2 linked regions of the Mytilus edulis genome follow. Each later gene encodes a partner of the first gene's protein in a complex. Links are inferred from orthologs where the notes say so. Each region holds a gene or a part of one and is shown on either strand. Other genes may lie near its edges.

Evidence for each region.
Region 2: glutamyl-tRNA(Gln) amidotransferase subunit A, mitochondrial-like (region 1) and glutamyl-tRNA(Gln) amidotransferase subunit C, mitochondrial-like share a complex: the UniProt entries of both Homo sapiens proteins name them as parts of the heterotrimeric GatCAB amidotransferase (AdT) complex. The link is inferred for Mytilus edulis from reciprocal best matches to the Homo sapiens genes QRSL1 and GATC.

Annotation. Positions count from the first base shown.
Region 1 is NC_092344.1:890,401-898,022, reverse strand, and holds the start of glutamyl-tRNA(Gln) amidotransferase subunit A, mitochondrial-like, read right to left. Parts: upstream 3,178-7,622; 5' UTR 3,100-3,177; coding exon 3,076-3,099; intron 1-3,075. Other genes in the region: serine/threonine-protein kinase Nek5-like, read left to right, coding at 3,328-3,435, 5,064-5,327, 6,244-6,347, 6,941-7,037. UniProt on the Homo sapiens protein: Allows the formation of correctly charged Gln-tRNA(Gln) through the transamidation of misacylated Glu-tRNA(Gln) in the mitochondria. The reaction takes place in the presence of glutamine and ATP through an activated gamma-phospho-Glu-tRNA(Gln).
Region 2 is NC_092349.1:62,496,286-62,504,156, forward strand, and holds the start of glutamyl-tRNA(Gln) amidotransferase subunit C, mitochondrial-like, read right to left. Parts: upstream 3,028-7,871; 5' UTR 2,992-3,027; coding exon 2,917-2,991; intron 1,277-2,916; coding exon 1,056-1,276; intron 458-1,055; exon of another isoform or gene 122-457; intron 1-121. UniProt on the Homo sapiens protein: Allows the formation of correctly charged Gln-tRNA(Gln) through the transamidation of misacylated Glu-tRNA(Gln) in the mitochondria. The reaction takes place in the presence of glutamine and ATP through an activated gamma-phospho-Glu-tRNA(Gln).

The sequences.
Region 1 (7,622 bases):
TGTTATTGTTTTAGCCTTCCGAAGGGATAAAAAAGAATAAAATTGATCAGTTCAAGAGATAATTAATAACTGCAATCCCGTGATTTGCCATATTTGGCCAATTTCCATAAAAAAAAAATTCATTATGGGATAAAATTTTATTTCTTTAAGTCAAACTTATATAAGATTAAAATAATTTTTTGCTCTGCATCCTTGGTAGTGTATTTGGTTCAAACTTAGCTATATTTCGTAGTATAAAATCTTTCCTTTATTTAAAATAAGCTTTTTTTTAAGGCATGCACGCAATCACCAGACATTGGAGGAACTCTCTGAACAGGGGTTTCCCTTATTTTAGACACACATTACAAACCAGGTGCTCCGCAGGGCGCAGCTTTATACGACCGCAGAGGTCGAACCCTGAACAGTTGGGGCAAGTATGGACAAAACATTCTAGCGTGATACAGCTCTGAATTTGGATTGTGATCAAATTTTTGACATTACATGGATTTTTTTTACACAAAACAAATGTCAAGATTTTACAAATTTTACAATTAAAGATTTCTTCTTCAAACTTTTTAAATCTAAAATTAAATAGTTGACACAGAATGAATGTGGTCTAATGAACTTAAAAGTTTGTTTTTGCCTTTTAGCAATTCACTATGCTGTTGAATATTAATCCTCTCAAAAAAATGTTTGAAGAAATTTTCTTTTTATTTATGAAATCTGAAATGAGAAAAATTTACCCCCCCCCCCCCCTTTTTTCACATCCCCGTTTCCCTTTTTCCAAAACTGATATCCATTCAAATTTCTAATGGAGTTTGCAACAATAACTACTCTTTTAAATACATCATAAAATATTAAAATGTAAAATAAAGTGCTTGTTATCACTGAATGGTAAAGATTGGTTGGTAGTAAAAGTGAATATACATTGTTTATTGTATAAAACAATAAAAAAAACTTCATCAGCAACATTTTATATTGGCAAATTTCCAATGAAGTTATTTACATAAAGTTATTGGCAAATAAATATAGAAAATGACATCATAGTCATGTCTGGCAAATGTCCAACATACATTATCTAAAAACATTTTAGATAAGATAAGGAAATAAGATGTAAAAAAACTGCTTGTTATCACTGAATGGTAAAGATTATTTTAATTTATCAGTTGGTAGTAAAAAGTGAATATACATTGTATATTGTATATAACAAAGATTTAAGTTGATTCTGGACAAAGAAAGATAACTCTAATTAAAAAAAAATCTTGCTATTGCACAATATTTTGCAATTACATATTTCTTGCTTACTATTCTGGACAAAGAAAGATAACTCTAATTAAAAAAAAATTTGCTATTTCACAATATTGTGCAATTAGATATTTCTTGCCATTGCGCAATACTGTGCAATTGAAAAGACTTGCTATTGCACAATACTTAATATAATAATTTTAGATCCTGATTTGGACCAACTTGAAAACTGGGCCCATAATAAAAAATCTAAGTACATTTTTGGATTCAGCATATCAAAAAACCCCAAGATTTCAATTTTTGTTAAAATCAGACTAAGTTTAATTTTGGACCCTTTGGACTTTAGTGTAGACCAATTTGAAAACAGGACCAAAAATGAAGAATCTACATACACAGTTAGATTTGGTATATCAAAGAACCCCATTTATTCAATTTTTGATGAAATCAAACAAAGTTTAATTTTGGACCCCGATTTGGACCAACTTGAAAACTGGGCCAATAATCAAGAATCAAAGTACATTTTTAGATTCAGCATATCAAAGAACCTAACTGATTCATTTTTTGTCAAAATCAAACTAAGTTTAATTTTGGACCCTTTGGACCTTAATGTAGACCAATTTGAAAACGGGACCAAAAGTTAAGAATCTACATACACAGTCATGACAGTTAGATTCGGCATATCAAAGAACCCCAATTATTCAATTTTGATGAAATCAAACAAAGTTTAATTTTGGACCCTTTGGGCCCCTTATTCTGTTGGGACCAAAACTCCCAAAATCAATACCAACCTTCCTTTTATGGTCATAAACCTTGTGTTTAAATTTCATAGATTTCTATTTACTTATACTAATGTTATGGTGCGAAAACCAAGAAAAATGCTTATTTGGGTCCCTTTTTGGCCCCTAATTCCTAAACTGTTGGGACCTAAACTCCCAAAATCAATACCAACCTTCCTTTTGTAGTCATTAACATTGTGTTTAAATTTCATTGATTTCTATTTACTTAAACTAAAGTTATTGTGCGAAAACCAAGAATAATGCTTATTTGGGCCCTTTTTTGGCCCCTAATTCCTAATCTGTTGAAACCAAAACTCCCAAAATCAATCCCAACCGTTCTTTTGTGGTCATAAACCTTGTGTCAAAATTTCATAGATTTCTATTAACTTAAACTAAAGTTATAGTGCGAAAACCAAGAAAATGCTTATTTGGGCCCTTTTTGGCCCCTAATTCCTAAAATGTTGGGACCAAAACTCCCAAAATCAATACCAACCTTCCTTTTGTTGTCATAAACCTTGTGTTTAAATTTCATAGATTTCCATTCACTTTTACTAAAGTTAGAGTGCGAAAACTAAAAGTATTCGGACGACGACGACGACGCCAACGTGATAGCAATATACGACGAAAATTTTTTCAAATTTTGCGGTCGTATAAAAATCTAGAGGATGAAACCATTAAAACAGAAGATTTTATGAAATAAAAGTATGTTATTATATTGTTCACACAATATTATTCAATTATTGGTTTTATCAGTTGCATGAAAGTGAAGTCACAAGCACCGGATTGAACCGTACATGTATTTCATGTAACTGGACTTAAAATAAATGTTCTTATCTTATCTTTTCTTTGCAATTGCTTAACCTAGTGTCATATATTGATTAAGTTTATGTAAACAAATTATAGCTGAGATTTCACATATTTTACAGTATCTTTGATTTGTTTTGTTTTGTCTCAATATTTTTAGGTACATTGTAATTCTAGCAAGTGAGTGTGTTGAGTTGTTGAGTTGTTATGTTTTATTATATTTGAAATTTAATGTGGTCGATGACACAGCATTCTTAAACTCAAAATTAACCTCTTTTAAAGTCAATGACAGCATTTCGATTTACAAATGAAATTTATAGAGTTGTCTCCCATCTGGCTGGATGTGCCGAATGGGAGACAACTCTTTTTTCTCGTGAACCCAGAAGTAAAATTCAGTGACCCATAAAATCTGTATTAGAGTTTCGTTTGTTTAATTTTGACAGTAAATCTAACAATATCCAGAGGGCTGCAATTCAGATGTAGATGTTATAATTCTTAGTCATTGTAAACTAAAGTTATTAGAATGGCCGCAGCGGCAAGTCCGATAGAGTTTGAGCTGGAAAAGACTCTTGGAGAAGGGGCTTTTGGGAAAGTATTTTTATGTTGTGACAAAACAGATAAAACACGAAAGGTACATTATTTTACATATTTTTCTTGTATTCTAATTAGATAATTTGTTTAACAGGTTGTAGTTTCAGTAGTTATATTTCAAGTTGTCTACCTACTTTCTTTTTCACACACAAATGCTCTGGGAACAAAAGTGAAAGTAGACATACTGGACATTATGATGAAATGTCCAATGTTGGCTTACATGTTATTCTCTATATGGTATTCATCTACAAAAGAACAGGAGAAGGAATTTTACCATTGACCTGTAGTGAATTTGGAGAGTGGTGACAACTGATATGATGAGGGGGGATAGGACCTTTATCGGGACTCCAGGATCGGGTGTTTTTAAGCTCAGGATTACAGGATTGACCCTTTTCGGGATCCTGGAATTCTTTTTTTCGAATTTCGGGACCTCAGGATTATGTGTTTTTAAGCCCAGGATCTCGGGACTTTGTGTTTTTAAGCCCAGGATTTCGGGATCAGGACCCCTTCTACCCCCCCTAATATGATTGTGTCAGAATAAAGTCATGGTTTTTAGGTAGTGCAGCACTCTGTATCTGTATTTCCTACTTCTGTAATATGGATGGATACGTCACAGATTCCTTTTGGCTATTGTGTGACGGGTTGGTCTGTGTGTAAATTAGTCGCGCTTGCTGAGGAGTACTGATTTAAACTCCTGGCGAGTCCTCCAGATGGTTCCAATCTACTGCAGTGCGCTCAAATATGGAGTTTTTGAACCGGTTGGTTTTACTTTTAGGAACTATGACTGCACCTTTGTTGCTACGGAATTGTTGGTCTATAATGTTCTTAGTTACAAAATTGTTATATGTTGTCGCTCTTATTTGTCGTTTGGGTCTATGGAATATTATAAGATCGTCAGGTGGAAGCGCTGGTATCTTCCCCTCAACCACTTTAAAGAAGAATATCAGTCGTTTTTTTGTCATCTTGACTGTAGCGACAGAAGCTGAAGTTCTGATAGCATTTTTGTCATACATCCTTCATCCCTTGATTTGTAGTCTTTGGTGATAAATCTAGCCCCTCTTTTTTTATGGATTCTAATTTGTCGATGTCTTTCTAGTTATATTGGTCCCAAAAAGTTGATCTGTACTCCATAATGGATCTCACGAGTGCTATATATGCTGTTTTACAGCATTCCCTAGGGCAGTGTTGTAGGTTTCTCTTAAGGAAGCCTAGCATGGAAGTGGCTTTTTTACATGCGTTTGTTTATTGTTCCTTCCATTTTAGGGTGCCACATGTGGAGTAGGATCTGCTTACCTTTCTCCATTTTGTGGTTTATCCATGGCAGTCTGTTGTTTGACTTGACTTTTTTAGATGATATGTTTTTGTTAAGGCTGGCAAATAGGTGTTTCTTAAATGTCAACCAAGCTTCCTTGACATTTTGATTGTTTTGGATATCATTCCTTATTTGTGTTGTCAGTAAATTTATATCTTTATTCAGGTCATACCGGTCGGCTCTTGCCCGCCCAGGTGTAAACTTTTCGAGGGTTAGATTTTGAGTAGTACGGTTTGATGTATGATTGCACAACCTCATTTATGTGAAACCTCTACCCTTAGTATCAAGACCTCTGACAGAAAGAATGATGTTGTGGTTCCTACATACGTAATAAAACTTCTTTTTTTACATTTCAGTATGCTATGAAAGTAATTGATTTGAGTAAGTCCCCTCAAGAGGAGAGAGAAGCTGCTGAAAGAGAGGCTAGATTGTTGTCAGATTTTAAACATGATAATATCATAGCTTATATAGATTCATTCCAAGAAAAGGGTGCTTTGTGTATAGTTACTGAATTTTGTGACGGAGGAGATTTGTCAGAATACATTGAAAAACGAAGTGGAAGGCCATTTAATGAAGATCAAATTGTAAATTGGTTCAGACAGATATGTAGTGGCTTACAGGTAAGCATTGACTTCTTCAAGGAGAATGTGTTTGAAATTTTGGTTCAAATTTTCTAGTTGCAAAAAGAAACAGTGAATCATAATAAAATAAATATAAAAAATACAAGCAGATACTCATTCTTTTGTAACTGATGGCCAGTGATGGGTTGTTGTCTCATTGCCAATCATAACAAATCTCATTATTTTTATGCCCCACCTACGATAGTAGAGGGGCATTATGTTTTCTAGTCTATGCCTCTGTTCGTTCGTCCGTTCATTCGTCCAACTTCAGGTTAAAGTTTTTGGTCAAGGTAGTTTTTGATGAAGTTAAAGTCGCAACTACTTGAAACTTAGTACACATGTTCCCTATGATATGATCTTTCTAATTTTAATTCCAAATTAAAGTTTTGACCCCAATTTCACGATCCACTGAACATGGAAAATTATAGTGCGAGTGGGGCATCCGTGTACTATGGACAAATTATTTTTGTATATAATTGCCACATTGATTGATAGTTTTTACCATACATTAATGTATATTGTGGATTCATTTATTTTTGTCTGTATCAATTTTCAAAGCCTGTAAAAAATTTGTTTTTCTTGAACATTTGAATTGGTGGTTCACCTGTACCTATGAATCCCATGGGTGTCCAACAATTTATAATGAATCCACATTATCCTATGTACCTTTTTTGTTTATTTGTACAAACAGAGATAAACAGCACTTGATCCATGATAGCTGACTTGGTACACCCATGTCATATATGCTGGGATTAAACCAGTTTTTAATACCGTCTTACCTTCTCTTTGACAATCTAAAACATTTTTTGTAATGCTTTCACCAGAAAAAATGGTCAAAATGCACATATAATGTTCAACACAAGTTTATGACAAATTTGCAACAAATCACGAAATTTTGGTGTTGTTTGTATTTCAGTATCTACATGCTAGAAATTGTTTACATAGAGATATAAAGACACAGAATGTTTTCCTGACAGGGCCAAAGAAAACTGCAAAGTTAGGCGATTTAGGATTAGCAAAGTATGTTGTTTAATGTTATATACATATGACAAGTTTATATTTTAAAAAATATATTGTGCTGTGTAATGCAATGAAAATGAAATGATGATAGCTGCATGATAATGATACATCACGAATACTCTGGAAGGTAATTAAAAACAATAAAAAAGAAATGGCATTTTCAATTCCACATACCTCAATTATAAACAAATTTAAGAAAAAAAGTCAAACATAAACTTAGTTGAGTTTGATAGGGTCAAGCACATCTATATCATTATAAACAAGGTAACAACTTAAACCAAAGAGAAGACAACATTTGATGACTTCAATGCACTTTTTGGTAAGATGATTGGTTTATTGATTCTTGGTTGATAAATGTCCAGTTGCAAATATTTCATGCATGTTCAGGAAGATTTATTGATTGCAGCAGCAATATATAGTAGATAACAACAAATGGAAGTTTTTAACGACCTTGACTGGCTATACAGCCCTTGCACGGTCGGTATAGTAGATACGCCAATATCATCCATTTATATAGAAAGACCTAATGCTAAAACTGTTACATTTTGTGAAAATCTTTATTCTATCTAATTACATACTTTGTTTCTTCACAGAGTCTTAGAAAGACCTAATGCTAAAGCTGTTACATTTTGTGGAAGTCCTTACTATATGTCACCAGAAATATTTGCTTGTAAACCTTACGATTCAAAGGTAAGGTTTTGTGTTTTAGAATGACATTAAAATCTAGTTAACATGATGCCATATTTGTGAGAAAAAAAACATTCAAAACCAGCACATGAAAAATATTAAATCTTAAACAGTAGAATAATTTTCTTCTTCCTTTAAATAATCTTTATCAAAAGCATGGTTAGTGGAAGTATAAAGAAAAATAATCGTACACAAATTACGTAAATGTCTCTTATATCAGTAATGGATCAGAAACAGATAAATAAAGAAACAGCCAACAAGTACTGCTTTACCTTGTTTAAACCACTATAGCTACCATGTCTATTTGTTTTCCAGAGTGACATTTGGGCAATGGGTGTATATATATATGAAATGTCAACATGTATTGTTTAAACTGCTATAACTGCCTAGCCTATTTGTTTTCCATAGTGACATTTGGGCAATGGGTGTAGTTATATGGGCACAGGACGTTTGCGCTCTTTTACCTGTAAAACGATAGGACATTTGCGCTTCCAATACTATGGACATTTGTGCTTTTAATTTTGATTCACCTGTATTAATTTGACCGGACATATGCGCTTTTTACCTATAGTCATCTACCTGTAATTT
Region 2 (7,871 bases), on another chromosome or scaffold:
ATTTTTAAAGCAGCCTGTCCCAAAAGATGAATGTTTGGTCACCGTTGGTGCGTGCCTTCGTGACATTCACAGCTCCAGTCAGCACGGATATAACTTGTCACAATATTTGGTAATCCGTGAGTGAGTTAAAAAGACACTGAACATAATGTGATGATCACATCTCATTAAATTTGACAGTCAGTAAAAAAATAACCACAGAAGGCACAGATGTAAAGGAAAAGAATACCAGAAGTGTAATTAAAAATTAATAAAAAATGTAGCCACAAAAACCACAGAAAATGTATAAATATGTATTTTCATGTATATTTTTGTACATGTGTGGTCAAAAGTTACACAGGAAGTGTCTACCTTTTCATATGAATAAATTATGTATGTAGCAACGAGGCATACTAGGTTTGTAATGTAAAATTGGTGCAAATTGCAGTAAAAGGCAAAGTGTCATGTCATTATTTAAACAGTATGTATACTGACTTTATATATACATGTTTATTCAACATAAACTTTTAAAAAGTCTCTGTCAATCATATTAAGTATCAAGAGAAACATGTACATTTATGATATCTTTTTAGAATTATGGTTGATGACCCATCCAATATGGTAACCATTAGTTCTAAAATAGATACCTGACAAGAAAATTGTAATAAAAATTACAAGACACAAGATAACTTATTACTAATTTTATGCTTATACTTGAGCATATTTCAAAATAATGTTAAAAACAAAATTGATATGAATTACATTGTGTATTATCAACCACTAAAAGCAATAATTATCATGATTATATAAAGGTCCCAATTTTAGTGAATATTTATGACTATAATTTTGGAAGACGGTAGTTTAATACAAATTTTTTTTTTATGAATCACCATATACGGTAATATTTCCTAAGTTCTTTAGTCTTTTGACACTCAGATCTTAAGAGCTTCTGCTCATAATTGTTCCTTCTGAACTATTCTGGCACTCCAATCATGCTTCAATGATTCCCTATATAATCAACCAAATTTTTCACACGAAAGGGGGGGCCTGGGCCCATTCTAGCTCATTCTAAGATTTACCTGTCTTCTAATACAGATTCCATGGGTTCAATTCCATCTGTGTTAACCATATGTAATTTATTAGCTGATTCTATAGCTTTAGACAGTCTCTCAATTCCAGCCTGATTATTAAACTCAACCAAGGAAACCCTCTCTAAATGGTTTATCATCTCTTGGTCTATTTGTGGAACATTGGGAATTCTTGTGTGGTCCACCTCTTCCCATATTGGTGTCTTTGGGACCTGTAAATGAATAATAGCCCCTGGTGAAATATGAAGGTTAACATTTTTAAATATTAAAGAATGGAAATGGTAACAACAATAATTTGCAAGGAGTATAAGTTTTACAAAAAGTTTTTTCCAAACTTTTGCAACTATTCCAAAATTATAGTTTATATAACTTCATAAATATTCATTTCAGGTGAGAGAAAATAAGGTTGACTGCAATTCAGAGTTACAATTTTTGTAGTTATATGTATCATGTGTATCATTTACATTAAGTGATAATTTGAACACATAAAAAAAAACTTCTTTTTAGGAGCTATTCACTATTTCATGTTTTAGCAGGCAGAGCTGAAAATAATTTAGTAACAGAAAGAAAAGATTTATTTGAAAAATTGTTGAAGAATTAGAACAAAATTGATTATTCAGACAAACCCTTGCTTGCTTGCCCTCAAGTGGGCGCATTGTTGATCTTGATATGGAATGGTGACACGTCAGACTGACATTACTACAGCATGCATCCATCATGTAAAGATTTATTCAAAAACCTTAGTTATACTTTATATTAACACTGTTTAAATTTGCCTTATAATATTTTTTTAATGAAAGTCATGATCTCAGATTACATTTGGCATCCCCAAAAAACCCATGGTGGTTTGAGAGGATTTTTAGATGGGGTATGTGTTATGGGATTAAAGAATTTGTGAAATCTGTAAAAGTGGCGAAATTGAAAATGAACAGCACATGCTGCTACACTGCAGAGGTTACTCTAGTATTAGAGAGACTTTTGTATTAAAAATGTTCAAAATTACAGGAAAAAATATAACCACATTGTGCGATAAAAATAAAATAAATCTTAAACTTAATAATACATCTTATACGGCACTGAAATTATCTTCCTCTTTCGTAACAAATTGTAAACATGTTAAATGCAAGAAGTAATCTATTGCAATAGATTTTCATTGTACCATTTATTGTAAAAGAGTTTGTGCCAATAAAATATTGTCTATTGTCTTAATAATGGTATGAATGATGACTCTTGAGGTGGGAGAAGTGTGACATGACTGCTTCCCTTTATAGTATTGGTAGGAGATACTTAGTCAGTAGTAAGTAGTTAAGCTAAGGAATTACTTCTTTAGCTCAGTTGGTTAGAACACTGCCTTGTCGCACAGAGGGCCAAATTTTAGTCCCAGTGGAGCAAAGTAAATACTTGTGTATGTAGAATCAGATCAGTTTAGGGGTCCTTCGGCTGTTGTCTGCTCTATGGTTGGTGTGTTGTCTCTTTGACACATTTCCCATTTCCATTCTCAATTTTACATGTCTCTGGTTGAACAGGGACTTCCTATAAGAATTAGTATATGTATATAGAAAGTCCCTGGGTTGAATCATGCTATCTTCATTGATGATTTTTTTTTATTTAATGTTTGTTTTGTGTCTATATTATTATATTATCTGTTTATTCTTCCTGCCATGTTTGTTATCATTCTATCAAACCATGAAATGAATTATGCATTGTGCCCTAAAATAAATAACGTACTAGATTTTAACCTTTGTGAACATTTTACATTAACCATCTTGATTTTGTTATTTTACTACTTATTACAAGTTCAAATTAAGAATTAGAATAGAAAAGGATCAAATGACTGCATTACAATCCACACCTTGCTACAAAAGCAGTTCTTGTTTCGTGAAACTCTTTGAAAACACAGTCTGCAAGTGAGTTTTGTCAACAGCATGTTTGTTTTGGATTATTTCCCTTACTACCTATTTACACTTCCTGTTAAAAAAAAATGAACAGCATTGGCGAAGAATGCCAAGAACTAAAAGTTGCTTATGACAGTTGTTTTAACAAATGGTTTGCAGAACAATTTTTAAAGGGGAACACAAATGATCCATGTAAAGCATTGTTTGGTGTTTATCAAACTTGTGTGAAGGTAAAATGAACATAGAACGTAAAGTCTAAAGAACTTTTAATTTGTAAATACTGCATAAAATTACATCATTCTCATACTGTAATATGATTTCTTTCAAGAGACAATGAAAAAGAAAGTCGAACAATTAGGATTCAAAAGTACCAATAATTTGATCCATTCTGCTTTAATCCAAGACAAGATCATCATAATACATGAAATATTTGCCACTGGTTGTTATGGTGTCATCCTACTGCTAATCTGCTAACATTATTATACTGTTTTGTTTCATGATATTATTGATAATAGCTGGAATATGCCAACTATTAAGTATTTGGGACTAATAAAGTGGGTTTCAGGGTTTAAAAAAAGGGGGGGGGGGCAAAATAATAATAAAATAATGAGAAACTGTATGATTGCTAATGAGAAAACTGTCCAACAAAAAATGAAAGTGGATGAAAGCAATTATAGGTAAAGTATGGCCCTCAACAATGAGAAAAACCCATATCCTTTAAGTTAAGTCTGCTTTAAAAGGCCCGGACATAATATTATGAAACAATTCAATTGAGAAAACAGTGATGTACATGTTATGTAACAGCACAACAAAACAACAAACTATGTAAAATCAGTTGAAAAAGGGTTAACTCATCAGATAGATACAGAGAAAATATGGAACACAAAACAGAGAATTTTCAATAACTAGTTCTAAGGAATTACAAGTATATAGATGTGGGTTTTAAAAATGTCTATTGTTATATAGGTCCATAAACATTACACAAATGTATAAAGAATAGACTAGACCAATAATCATGATAATAATGAAGATTATAAATATCCCCAAATTAACACAATTAAGTTTATGTAATTTCAGAAAGCAATACTGGAGAAGAAACTTGATTTGGGAGAAATTGAAAAAGATGTGTTAGGAACAGACAGAGAGGAAAAGAAAACTTAAACATTTTCTGCTGTCCACTTACCAATGCTCACAACATTACAAGAACAGTGAAATAATGCAGCTGAAGGAAATCTATTGACTTTTTTATCAGTGTGAATGACCAATGACTGCTAGTGAACTTACATGACTTTTATGATTTGTTTTTTAAATATTTTTATTAAATTTTTATAAAAAAACAAAACCATGCAAACCATTTTTACAGTATTGTTATTTTTTTCAATGGTGGGGAAAGGGTTGATGTTTTAGCGGTTTTGAAAGTGATCAGGAATGAAATTCTTTCTTGTGTAAATTATCATAAGAGCATTGAGCAATACAATTCATGTACATACTAAACATTATGAATGAGGAGTTTAAAAAACATGTGATAAAAAAGTTTCTGATTACGCTGAAAGAAAAATTTATCAAACCAGGAAACTCAATATTTGAACCCTGTCAAACAACCACTACATATGGCCCAAGAACACAGTTATTTCGTAGTGCATTTTTTTTAGACAATAAATTCAAATAAAAAAATGGCACCTGCTCTCTCAAAAAGATTTTTACAGTGATGTGTACATTGGGACAAATAATATCAAAATTATAGAAACTTCTAACAGCTCTAACTCAAAATATTGACAATTCTGTGTTAAGGGGGACTTAAATTCAGTTTTGACAGCTTCAGATGTTCTAATTTTTTAACTGGACCAAATCACTACTTAATGATTCAGCACCCACATTTTTTTATGCCCCACCTACGATAGTAGAGGGGCATTATGTTTTCTGGTCTGTGCGGCCGTTCGTCCGTCCGTCTGTCCGTTCGTTCGTCCGTCTGTCCCGCTTCAGGTTAAAGTTTTTGGTCAAGGTAGTTTTTGATGAAGCTGAAGTCCAATCAACTTGAAACTTAGTACATATGTTCCTTATGATATGATCTTTCTAATTTTAAAGACAAATTAAACTTTTGACCCCTATTTCACGGTCCACTGAACATAGAAAATGAAAGTGCGAGTTTCAGGTTAAAGTTTTTGGTCAAGGTAGTTTTTGATGAAGTTGAAGTCCAATCAACTTGAAACTTAGTACAAATGTTCCCTATGATATGATCTTTCTAATTTTAATGCCTAATTATATTTTTTACCCATTTTCACGGTCCATTGAACATGGAAAATGATAGTGCGAGTGGGGCATCCATGTACTTTGGACACATTCTTGTTTAACATGTAATTTCATCCCCTTACTTAATCTTTCATGCATTAAATATCAAGAAATAAATTGGGAAAGTGTAAAACCAAAAAAATGCAAGTTATACACTTATAAACTAAGGACTATATTAGACAACGAAAACCAAAGGACAATAACTGTGTCCTTGGACCATATGTGTTAATTACATATCATTCTGTCGTGATCAAGTAGATAAATTTCTAAATTTCCGCTCATTCACAAACATTTATTTCTTACTTGTTCTTGTCCACTGAAATCATTAATCTGAATATTATTGAAGCAAGACCTTTGTTGCTGTTTCCTTAAGAAGTGTAGAAAGGAGGGATAGTCTCAGTGTTTAGGTGTATTTTTACTCACCTATGAAAAATGGTTGTTTAACTTGATACCTGCAGATGCATAAATTTACTTGTTTAAAAGTGATGAAAATAGCAGAGGCGGATTAAGGCCCTATCCCCCCTTTCTGTGAAAAATTTGATTGGTTATATAGGGAATCATTGAAGCATGACCTTAGCTGGCCCCTTATTAGGCAGTCAATGGGCCCCCACTTATGAAAATTTCGGAATCCACAACTGAATGGCATAGACTAAATGTCTAGATAGTATAAAAGTGCTATTTATTATTTTGATGTTGAGGTCACCATGTAAAGGGATAAGATCATGGTTCCTAAGAACAGTCTACAACTTGTGCAGAATTTTCGAAAGGGGGGGTGCTAACCCAGGGCACCCAGGGCAAAAGGGGGGGGGGGGGTGCAAAACATATGTCCCGATACAAATGCATTGATCGGCAAAAATATAGGGGGGGGGGTGCGCACCCCCGGAACCCCCCCCCCCCCCCCCCCCCCCCTGGATCCGCCACTGTCGGATCACAAAGTAAGTTTCTAAAAATAAATCTAAGCTTGCTTGCTTACAAATGTAATAAAGGTTCCTTACTTGTTAAAATGTTCTACTAGTCCTCACGGAAAATGCATGAAATATTTATCACTGGAATTGAGACAGCAATCGGTCAATTGTTATGAAAAACATATTTTGGAAGTTAAACAATTTTATTAAAACAAGAGGTACACCTGTCACCTGTGTATTTCCCCTGGATAAAATAAAGGGAGTATGATTGGGAAGACCCTCATATGAACAGGCAGTCATCATAAGTTGTTTTAAAATTTCTGTGTCATTTTGGGCCGTTTTCCACTTCACTATGATGGATGGCAAACTCATTCATTGCCTTATGTATGCTGATGACATTGTAATTTTATCTAACTCAGCTGAAGGACTACAAGAGAAATTAAATGAACTTCATAATTTTTGCAATGACTGGTGCTTAGATATAAATACTAAAAAAACTAAGGTGTTGATATTCAACAAGGCAGGCAGACATATCTCTCAAAAATTTATTTTCAACAAAGATGAGCTGGAGTGTGTATCTAATTATAAATATTTGGGTATCCAATTTAATGCATCATGTTCTTTTTCATATGCTCAGAATGATTTATACCAAAGAGCCTTAAAAGCATACTTCAAACTATGTAATGATTTTTTAGTGCATAATCCTACTGTTAAAAATGCAATTCATGTTTTTGACCATACAATAAAGCCTATACTTTTATATGGGTGTGAAATTTGGGGATATTTCAATCCCTTTACTGCACGTTTAAAAAAAGAAAACATAACAGTGGATACAATTTACTCAAGGATACTTTGTGAAAAACTTCATATTAAATTCTGCAAATATATTTTAGGCGTTAATAGAAAGAGTACAAACTTTGCAGTTTTGTCTGAATTAGGCCGTTTTCCACTTCACTATGATATAATAGTCAAACATGTTTTAGGATATTGGCATCGTTTAGAAAATATTGGCTCATCATTTCCCTTGTTAAAAGCTGCATATAATTGTTCTAAAAAGCTATTTGAAACAAAAAAACCCTCTTGGTATGGATCAATTAATATTTTAAGGGAAAAAATGTCGGGCATAGAAAAACATATTCTTGAAAAATACTCAACATTTAAACTACACTGTGGTCAGATAGTTAAGGGATACTATACTGCATTGTGGAAAAAACAGCTAGACAAACATAAAGATGGTAAACTACGAACTTATGTAACATTCAAGTGCAACTATGGTTTTGAAAATTATTTGTCAATAATTCGACATTTTGAGCAAAGGAAATGTATTACTAGATTAAGAATATCTGCTCACAAATTGCAAATTGAATCTGGTAGATACCAGGGTACTCTTCGACAAAACCGAATTTGTCTCAGGTGCACCTCAGGTGAGGTTGAGGATGAAGTTCATTTTTTATTTAAATGTGACACTCATTTATTAAAAAGAGAGGAAATGATGCAAAATATATTAAAATCATGTCCAAACTTTCAAAATTTGAATATTGATAACAAATTAATTTGGATAATGAATAATGAGGATCCTAATGTACTATTTGCATTTTACAAATATATAGAAGATACTTAAGAATTAAAGTACAACTTAATCTGCAATAACTAATTCATTATAACTCTTTAATATGAATTTGGATACCCTGTTAAGCCTGCACAGATCATAAGAAGAA